Linked DNA regions of Coturnix japonica. The protein of the gene in region 2 interacts with the protein of the main gene of each other region in a pairwise test. Links are inferred from orthologs where the notes say so. Each region holds a gene or a part of one and is shown on either strand. Other genes may lie near its edges.

Region 1 (4,163 bases), on a different chromosome or scaffold from region 2:
CTGTGGCCAGTGCCAGCTTTTTAATATGTGGCTGCAGCTAAATATGCACCTTGAATTCACTTGGATTGCTCTAACATTCCTATATACTAGGAATAATTGAGAGAGACCAATAGACCTCCTACTAGAGGCAAGGGTTTGTGCTGTGGCTACAGCCTGAGCCCAGCTCAGTACTGGGTTAGCAGCAGGAGTGACTCAAAGCACAAGCTCTCATGGCTGAGGATCCTATATTCCTCCTTAATGATGAAGTGCCTTTTGCAACTTTTAACACTGCACAAAAGCCTTTGTGGAATATCAGATGACCCGTCAGGGCAATGTTGCCCTGCAATGCAATGGTGAGGTGTTTTCAGATGATTTTCTCTAGCATGGAGGCTTTCACTTTGTCATAGAAGCCTTCTTACACACAGTTCTGTCTCATATGCTGGTGCTTATCTCCCAGTCACAAATATAGACCCTCAGAACCCTTTTCCTTCCTTTCCAGCATCCATCCCTTGGTGGAGACATCAAGTGTCCTTATACCAATATCATACAGTTATACACAAACCCTACTGGAAAAATGCAGACTGGATAAAATTATGTTAAATTCCTTTTTTTTTTTTTTTTTTTGATAGTTTGGGATTGAGGATGTGGTCTAAAATGGCTTTTAAATATAATTTTTATATGAAATAAAAACTTTGCAGGTGTACAATGAAAGATGATATTTTTATACTATAGGTCTTGGTGTGGCTTTTTTAATAGCCTGAAATGCAGGACAGAAAAACAGTTTCTCTGCCCACTGCTACTGTTACATTGTTTTCTTCCTTTTATTTTTCCCCCTTCTTCCTCACAGCCCTGGATGTTCTTTCATCTAGCACTGAGCAACCTGTTCCCATTTGCTCATTGTTACAGTTATAGCTCATTGCAAAGGAAGCTCCATCCTTGCTCCTGATGCACGCAGTTTGTTGCCACTAGAATGCTACGGCAGTGAGAGCTGCAACAGCTCTCCTGGAGTGTGTGTGATGTGTTCAGTCAGACCTGGAGCTCTGGTGGAAGGGACTCAGTGCTGTGAAGCAGGATAAGGTCCTACAACATACAGTAAAAGCCACTTGTTCCAAAGGTGAAGAGCATTTACCCGCTGTTGTATAGCACTAAGACATTGCATCTGTCAGTTTTCTGTCATTTATTAGAAATGGCCCCTGCAGAACACACACATGCATGTTACACGGTTGGACCACAGCAGCACACACTTCTCTTTCCCATCCAAAGTGTTCAGTGTATCCTGGGCAGCTCTGCACCTCCTCCCTACAGGTGCACCAAGGGCAGACCTGGGCATTTTCATGGGTATGCCTGAGGTGCTCCCTGCCCTCCTGCAGGGAGGTAGTCACCAAGCAAGCTTGGACGGGCTCCTGTGGGGGCTCGTCTTTGATACCAGTCAGCTGAAATGCTGTCTGGACAAGATAAAACACTCAGTAATGAAGGATGATCAACAGAGTCCAACATCAATCTGCCACTGGGGCTGGCATCCTGGAGAAGCTCAGAGCTTTAGTGGAAGTCTGGCAGTGAGAACAGGAGATGATGCTGACCTTTACAGTGCGCTCAGCCTCAGTTTTTCTTCTTATTTTCTGACAGTGCTTCTACCTCCAGGTACTGTAGCCCGATCAGCATCCCCAGGATAGAGAAACCTGTGACGGAGATAAAGCATGAGTTGTATTAAAAAAGGCTGCTCAGATGGGACGTTCTGAACACCCCCTCCTTGCCCCACAGATAGTTCTGAGGGAGCTGAGAGCTCCATGAGAGGTTGGGGGTGGGAGGCAGGACGTAGAGCTCAGCTTACTTGCTACCATGAGTGGTGCCATAACTCCAATCGTCAAGGCTGCAGTGTGGTAAATGAAGACTTCAGAGAGGAAGTGAACAAGGGCCAAGAAGAAGGTGAAGAGCGTGATGTAGTAGAGGCTGTAGGAGCAGAAAGAAGCAGGTTAGCACACTCGCAGCACCAGCATGGCAGGCAGCAAAGCCACACACTGCTGTGGAGCACGGGTACTAAAGGTCACTGGGCTATGGCCGTGTTCAGTGGGGCAGGGTCACTGGTGTTATCTGCCTGGAAGTGAAGGGGCAGAGCGAGGGCAGGGCGCTGCTGCTATAGGAAACAGGGGGGCACATGAAACAGGGTGAGAACTGGCTGCGCCGAGGAACGGGTCGACAAGACCGGACTGACTAAGGGCGCATCACCCGGCACATCCCACCGTCGCTCCTTTATCCCCTATGAGCTGCACCTGCGGGAAGGGACCGGGTTCGAGGGCAACACAGAGAGACCCAAGAAACAACGACGTCATTGCCGCTGCCGTTACCAGGGCCACAGCACGGAGCGGCACCCAGCGATCCTGTACCCAGCGCTCCTGTACCCAGCGCTCCCCCGCCCGCTCCCGTTGCCGCCCCCGTACGTTTGGTTGCGGATGTCGATGGCGCACAGGCAGCGGATGACGGAGGACAGCAGCGTCCAGATGCCGAACGTCCTGGCCTGCAGCCCGTTCACTGCACGGAGGGAAAGAACGCGGTGAGGAACCGCTCCCGTGGGCCGCTGGGGAAGGGCTCCCGCGGGCCGAGCCCTTACCGAGAGCCGGGCTGCCGGTGTAGAGCTTCTCCGAGAGGAAGCCGTGGTCGCGGAAGCTCTGCAGCGTGTTCCCGGCGGCGATGACGGACACCATGACGAGCCAGCTGCGCAGCACGTTCAGGAACCGGCTCATCGTGCCGCCACGGCCCCGCACCGCGATCCCGCACCGCGATCCCGCACCGGGGCTGCCAACCCGCGCCGCCCTCCCGCGCTCCCATTGGCCGCGGCCGGGCCGCTCCACAGGCGCGCCACGCGGCCGCCGGGGCCGCCTCCGCCAATGGGAGGCCGCGCCGACACGGCCCGATCCCGCCCCCGCGCCGGGGAGCTGGAGGCGCCGCGCGTGCGCGCTGCAGCGGGACGGACCGGCCCGGGGGCGCACGCGCAGTGAGGGCGGGGCCGGGCGCCGCCGGTTGTTGTAGTAACGGGGAAGCGGCGGGAGTGGCCACCGGGACGGGCCGCGGCCATGGGGCTATGACGGAGCGGGTACGGGGCGCACCGAGCCGCTATCGCCGCGCGAGGGTACAGCGGCGCCTCTCGGGGCGCCTCTTCTGAGGCCGCGGGTAGGCCGGGGAACGACCGCACCGACAGGCGTGGCCGGCCCGGGGGCCGCTCCCAACATGGGGGGCCGTTGGAGCGGGGGAAGGGAGGAAAGAAAGAAATAAGGAAGGAAGGAAGGAGGGAAGGAAGGAAGGAAGGCGTGCAGCGAGCGGGGCGTGCCGCTGGGGCAGCGCGGGGTGAGGCCGGGGGTGGGCAGTGCGGCCCGGCTGGAGCTGTGCTGCCCTCAGTGGCCGGCCCGGCTGCGCGCTCAGGGTGTTAATTCCTGTTGCAGGTAAGAGCTGCTGTCAGATCCCTCGGGCCCGCAGTAGGGATCGGTGAGGCCGCCGAGCCGGCTGCATGAGAGCGCCCGGAGGAAATGCCGGCGGGCATGGCTCGGGGGCTGGAGGAAAGCGGCTCGTCCTCGGAGGAGGAGGAGGAGGAGGAAGACCCTGGAGACGAGCTGCAGTAAGTGGGGAATAAACTCCCTCTTAACTCTTGCTGTGTTCCTTCCCCGGGTCCTCCCTGTGGAGAAGCTCGTTGGTTCCTTGGTGATACGTAAGAAAACGATGGGAATTCATGTCCTTCTTTGTTTGCTTAGTTTTAATTCCCTGAAGAGAAGGGAGATGTGCTTCACAGCGGACTGGAGCACCACATTATGTGCTGTTGTCACAAAGCATCTTGTGAGAGCTGTAATACTTGTGCCTACTTTAGTATGTCTTGTTGGTTTTCTTCTCAGTGCATTTTGTGACCAGGTGTCCAGCTGCGAACAGCAGCACCTTAGTGCCCTTGGAGAGAAATACCACTTTGTACTGAGTAGTTGGCTTGGAGCTCCCAGACCCTCATGGATGAAAAGCTCAAGAACTGCCTATGGCTTGAATGTGTCTGCATGAAGTGACCAAGTGTCACTCTGGGAATGAATGACTGTCACCTGGAGGATTGCCTGAGCCCTGGTAGCCTTACTGCAAATCCCCAGGGCAGGCTTAACATAAAGTCCCCTTCTGCTGCCTCAGCTCATTTCCTGCTTACATAAGGTTCTGTC
Region 2 (4,281 bases):
TTATGACAGCACTGTTGTGAGCACAATATTGGTTTGGGATGTCATCCTACCCATTTATGCATTCCTATGGAGAGGAAGAGGCTCCCAGCTTGGACACCTCTGAGCACATCCACAGCTCCAGCACTGAGCTGGCAGTGCCTGGGAGTGTCCCTAAAAGAGCTGATGGAAAATTCATGCCTGGATCCAACCGGAACCAGGAAGGGTCTCCACGATGGCGAGAACAGCTTCATTCTCCATTGGTTTTACCTCTTATACTAAGTCATGGTCAACAAACCACACACCCTTTTCCTGTTGCAACTCACCCTGCTTAGATAAGCTAATTAAGCACCCAGCAGCCCCACCTCTTTCTGCAAATCTCCACATCTCTCCTCTAAACAGGAGCTGGTGATAAGATGCTGGACCTGGTTGGTTTTTTGTTATTGTAAGAATACTGATATCCTGGGGGGCTCATCCCACTGACCCAACACCAAGACAACAATTCTTACCCAATGATCACTGAAGTCTCCAACAATTACAGCTGGGGCAAAGGATCTGGCTGGGTTCATGGAGCAACCAGTGTAACGGATCTGCAGAGAAACACCACACTTAGTGTTAACATTAAGCTCTTTTACCACAATTGAATATACCCCAGTGTGTTATTAGCATGATTCATCCTCCCAGCATACCCCATTCCAGGAAACAAAATGCTACCAGCTTCCAGCTCCTGAGTCAACACACCTGAGTCCTGTTCATGCATCTCTGCTGCAAGCAGATGTGTCTGCATGGTGCAACTCGGATGCAAGTTGGGTGATGTATACTGCAATGGGAGCACGTTTCTGCCGTGCCTGTTCCTGGAGCACATTGCTACTCCTTGCCACAGAGGATTGAAGGAAAGTAATCCCATAGCAAGCCACACAAGCTTGCATATCATTAAGGATGGAAGAAGTGATGCAAACATTGCTGTTCTAATCCTGAGAGGTTGGGAGTGTTGGGGAATAATGTGGTTTTTTTTGCCTGCAAAAGTTAGCAATGAGGGATCTCCCTGGCTGTCCATCCCATGTAACTCCCAGTTTATCATGGTCTTGAGAATCTCCGTTGCTAACATGCTTGCTCCAGGGTAGAAGACCCCTTGGATCCCTGGTAGCTCTCAATGGGACTTGATGAACAGCAGATCCAACAGGTTATGGATTTTTTGGCAACCAATAGCAGCTCAGCTCAGGCTGTGATTGTGCTGTGGCTTTGGTGGGATCTTCCTGCTGCACCCACTTCAAAACCACAAGTATTGCACCATTACAACCCCCCCCCCCCATGAATTACAGACCTTTTGGCAGAAACACAAAGACATTCCAACCAAGCACTGCTATTTAAGCCATTCCACTCACCCCAAGGAGATGTCCAACGGCAACAGAAAGGCCAATGGACAGAGCAGGAGACCCCACGTTGTCCTCCCGGCGTTCATCAGTGGAAGCAAAGATGCAGAGGACGAGCTGGAAGGTGAGGAAGAGCTCGACAGTCACCGCCTGCCCTGTCGTCGTCTCATTGTGCAGCTGAAAGGGGAAAAGGCATCTCAGGGATGGGCAAATTCAGTGCTGGGAATGCAGATTTAGATGGGAAACCCAGAAATGAAGAGGAAATGGGTGAGATTTTTGGAATTTTCCCAGGAAAAATGGAATGTCTCTTCTGTCAAAATCTCTCCTTTCAGGTGCTTTGTGTTTGAAAACAGCATTTGGAAAATCTCTTAGAACTCTTATTGCTTTGTTGGGTTCATTAAACCTCAGCTATTATCAATATAAATAGTCTTGTTCAGACTAATCCTCAGATCCTTTCCAACCCTTTTAATCTCTCTGGCAGTAAATCTGGGTCTGGCAGTACCAGCTGCTTCTGCAAAGGAAGGGATTTCCCCGTGCTGCCTCCTAAAACATGCTGCCTTCCTCCTCTCCACCAGTTCTGGGTGATGCTGCTGCTGCTGTGGGCATCTCTGCAGCAGTACAGCTGCTCCTACCCATGGAGAAGGGAGTTACAGTGAATGCTGTCTTTCTCCTTCAGTTTCTTTTTATTGCATGTGTGGTTTGAGAAGGGGATTTGATGAGGGTTTGTCTCCTATCTAGGTGTCTATCCATCCAGCTGGATCACCTCTGTTTTCAGTCCCTAAAAGCACAGGAGCCCCGTGTTCATCCCTGCTGCTGGAAGAACCCATGCTACATCTGACCATGCCAACCCAATGTTTAACAGATGTCCTTGCTGACCCCAAAGCCCTTCTACACATCCCTCAGCCTTCCTCCAGCTCCATCCCAAACCTCTCAGCTCCTTTTCACACCCACCACGAGCTGCAGCCTCACCTTGTTGATGGCCAAGCCTTCCCTCGAGTCGGCTGGGGTGATCTCGTGTAGGATGGCAGCCCCTGCCACAGCCCCCAGGAGCTGGGCCACCACATAGAAGACTGCACGCAGGAAGGAGACGTGGGAACCAATAAGGCAAGCTACTGTCACTGCTGGGTTGATGTGAGCTCCGCTGATGTGCCCCAGAGCTTGGACCAGCGTGCCGATAGCCAAGCCAAAAGCCAATGCAATCTGAAGGATGCTCGGGGCAGAAGCTGAAGGCCAGTTCAGAGCAGAGCCCAGGCCGAAGAGGATGAAGACCAGGGTGGCCAGAAATTCTGCCAGGACAGCCCGGGTGAAGGCGACAGAGCGGAGCTCCCACATCATGGAGGCTGCAAGGACTGGCCCTGCCTGCAAGGGCTTCAGGCAATGGATGTAGCACTGCTGGATCCAGAGAGGATGATGGGGGTACAAGCCCTATATATAAGGGTATGGGATGAAGGAGGATTGCCTGCTGAAGGAGGTGGGGTTGTGGTCCTGGGAAACCCAATGCTTTCCTTCATGTATGTTCCAGCTGAGGGAACTTCAGAGCCTGCCCCTGCTATTAAAGCTAGGGAATGCAGTGCTTGCCATCCTTCAGAGGGCATAAATCAGCCTTGAGCAATGCCAGGAAATGCTGCTTCCTCTTCCCAGTGCTTTCTTATGGGGGCTTTGGAAGTGCTCCTTGCTTCTGTCTCCCCATCACCTGCAGCATGGGGAGAAGAGAAAGTGAATAAGGAAGCCGTAGTGCTAAGGTGGAGCGATAAACCCCATGGGTCCTGCTGAAGAGAATGGATAACAAGTCAGTTCTTCTTCCCTTCCATTGCTTAGGACACACCGTCCACTGGCCACGTCTTTAAGGCCTTCTGCTCCCTATGCAATAAGGAGTGGTTGGTTTGCAGCAAAAATGGACTTTTTTCCCCCCTTTTTCTTCCTCTCATTAACAGACTCTTGAGCCATCCTGGGAGAAGTGCTCCCCCAGGGCAGAGCTGGAGATGAGAGGATCATTTCATCTCCTATTTGGCTCCAACAAAGGCTTCCGCTGCAGGAGCCAAACATTTCCCCTCCAGAGGAACTGTGTGAGTGCGACTGAATGGATGTGAAGAGCTGGCATAAAAGATTATTCCATATTGCTCAGATTGCATTGCTCCTTCCTCCGCAGAAGGTGGGTAACAATACTGGCCCTCTCTTTACATATAAAGATGCTGATGTGAACATTGCCCTTATCAAAGGAGAAACTGTAGGGAAAACAAGTCCAGGGTGAGGATGAGAGACATGGATTCGTCCCCTTCCTCTGAAAACTCCTGTTTGACTTCCTTGGCAATGCCAAGATGTGACTTTGGCCCCAGGCTCTGGTTTTCCAGCAGTGAAGCAGATCTCATGCAGCAGACTGTGAGGCTGCCTGTGTTTGGGGTGCTGATAAGGCACAGAAATGCGGCCACATCCTGGCTGCAGGCTCCTGCTGCTCTCTGCCTGCAATGGATTTGCAAGCTTAGCATTGCTCAGAAATGCATTACGTCAGGGCTTGATTACAGGTGCAGGCTGCCAGTGGCATAGGGAATGTCAGATAACTAATATGGCAATTACCTGGAGCTGATACCCTGTTTGATTAATAGTTATTCACGGCAAGCAAGGCGTGATGTGTCCCTGCTTAATGAAGACTAATTAAAAAAGCAAGAGAAGCAGGCAGGATTAGCTCTGAGCAACTTAAAACCCTGACACAGCCTCACGCTCTTTGCTTTCAGCTGGTGATGTGAAGGCTGGTTGCAGCTGTTGTCTACCCAGTGCTTTGGGATTTCTATCTGGTGCTTTGGGGTTGCACTGTGCCTCCTCCTGATGGCAGAGCATGGCCCAGGAACACGTTTTTGAAGCACACTTTGCAAGTGCAAATGCACTTGCACAACAGTGTACTTCTCAAGTGACTTAGATGGCTCAGATATCTCTG

The links.
Region 1: the proteins of AQP2 (region 2) and ERG28 interact in binary tests that used the Homo sapiens proteins (3 or more experiments, as listed by UniProt). The link is inferred for Coturnix japonica from reciprocal best matches to the Homo sapiens genes AQP2 and ERG28.

Annotation. Positions count from the first base shown.
Region 1 is NC_029520.1:34,764,126-34,768,288, forward strand, and holds ERG28 (probable ergosterol biosynthetic protein 28), read right to left. Parts: upstream 2,799-4,163; 5' UTR 2,721-2,798; coding exon 2,588-2,720; intron 2,531-2,587; exon of another isoform or gene 2,509-2,530; coding exon 2,418-2,508; intron 1,930-2,417; coding exon 1,811-1,929; intron 1,659-1,810; coding exon 1,579-1,658; 3' UTR 1,560-1,578; intron 1,425-1,559; exon of another isoform or gene 1,142-1,424; intron 1,060-1,141; 3' UTR 585-1,059; downstream 1-584. Other genes in the region: tubulin polyglutamylase TTLL5, read left to right, coding at 3,501-3,589.
Region 2 is NC_029544.1:1,313,903-1,318,183, reverse strand, and holds the start of AQP2 (aquaporin-2), read right to left. Parts: upstream 2,857-4,281; 5' UTR 2,685-2,856; coding exon 2,319-2,684; intron 1,527-2,318; coding exon 1,362-1,526; intron 567-1,361; coding exon 486-566; intron 1-485. UniProt on the Homo sapiens protein: Forms a water-specific channel that provides the plasma membranes of renal collecting duct with high permeability to water, thereby permitting water to move in the direction of an osmotic gradient. Plays an essential role in renal water homeostasis.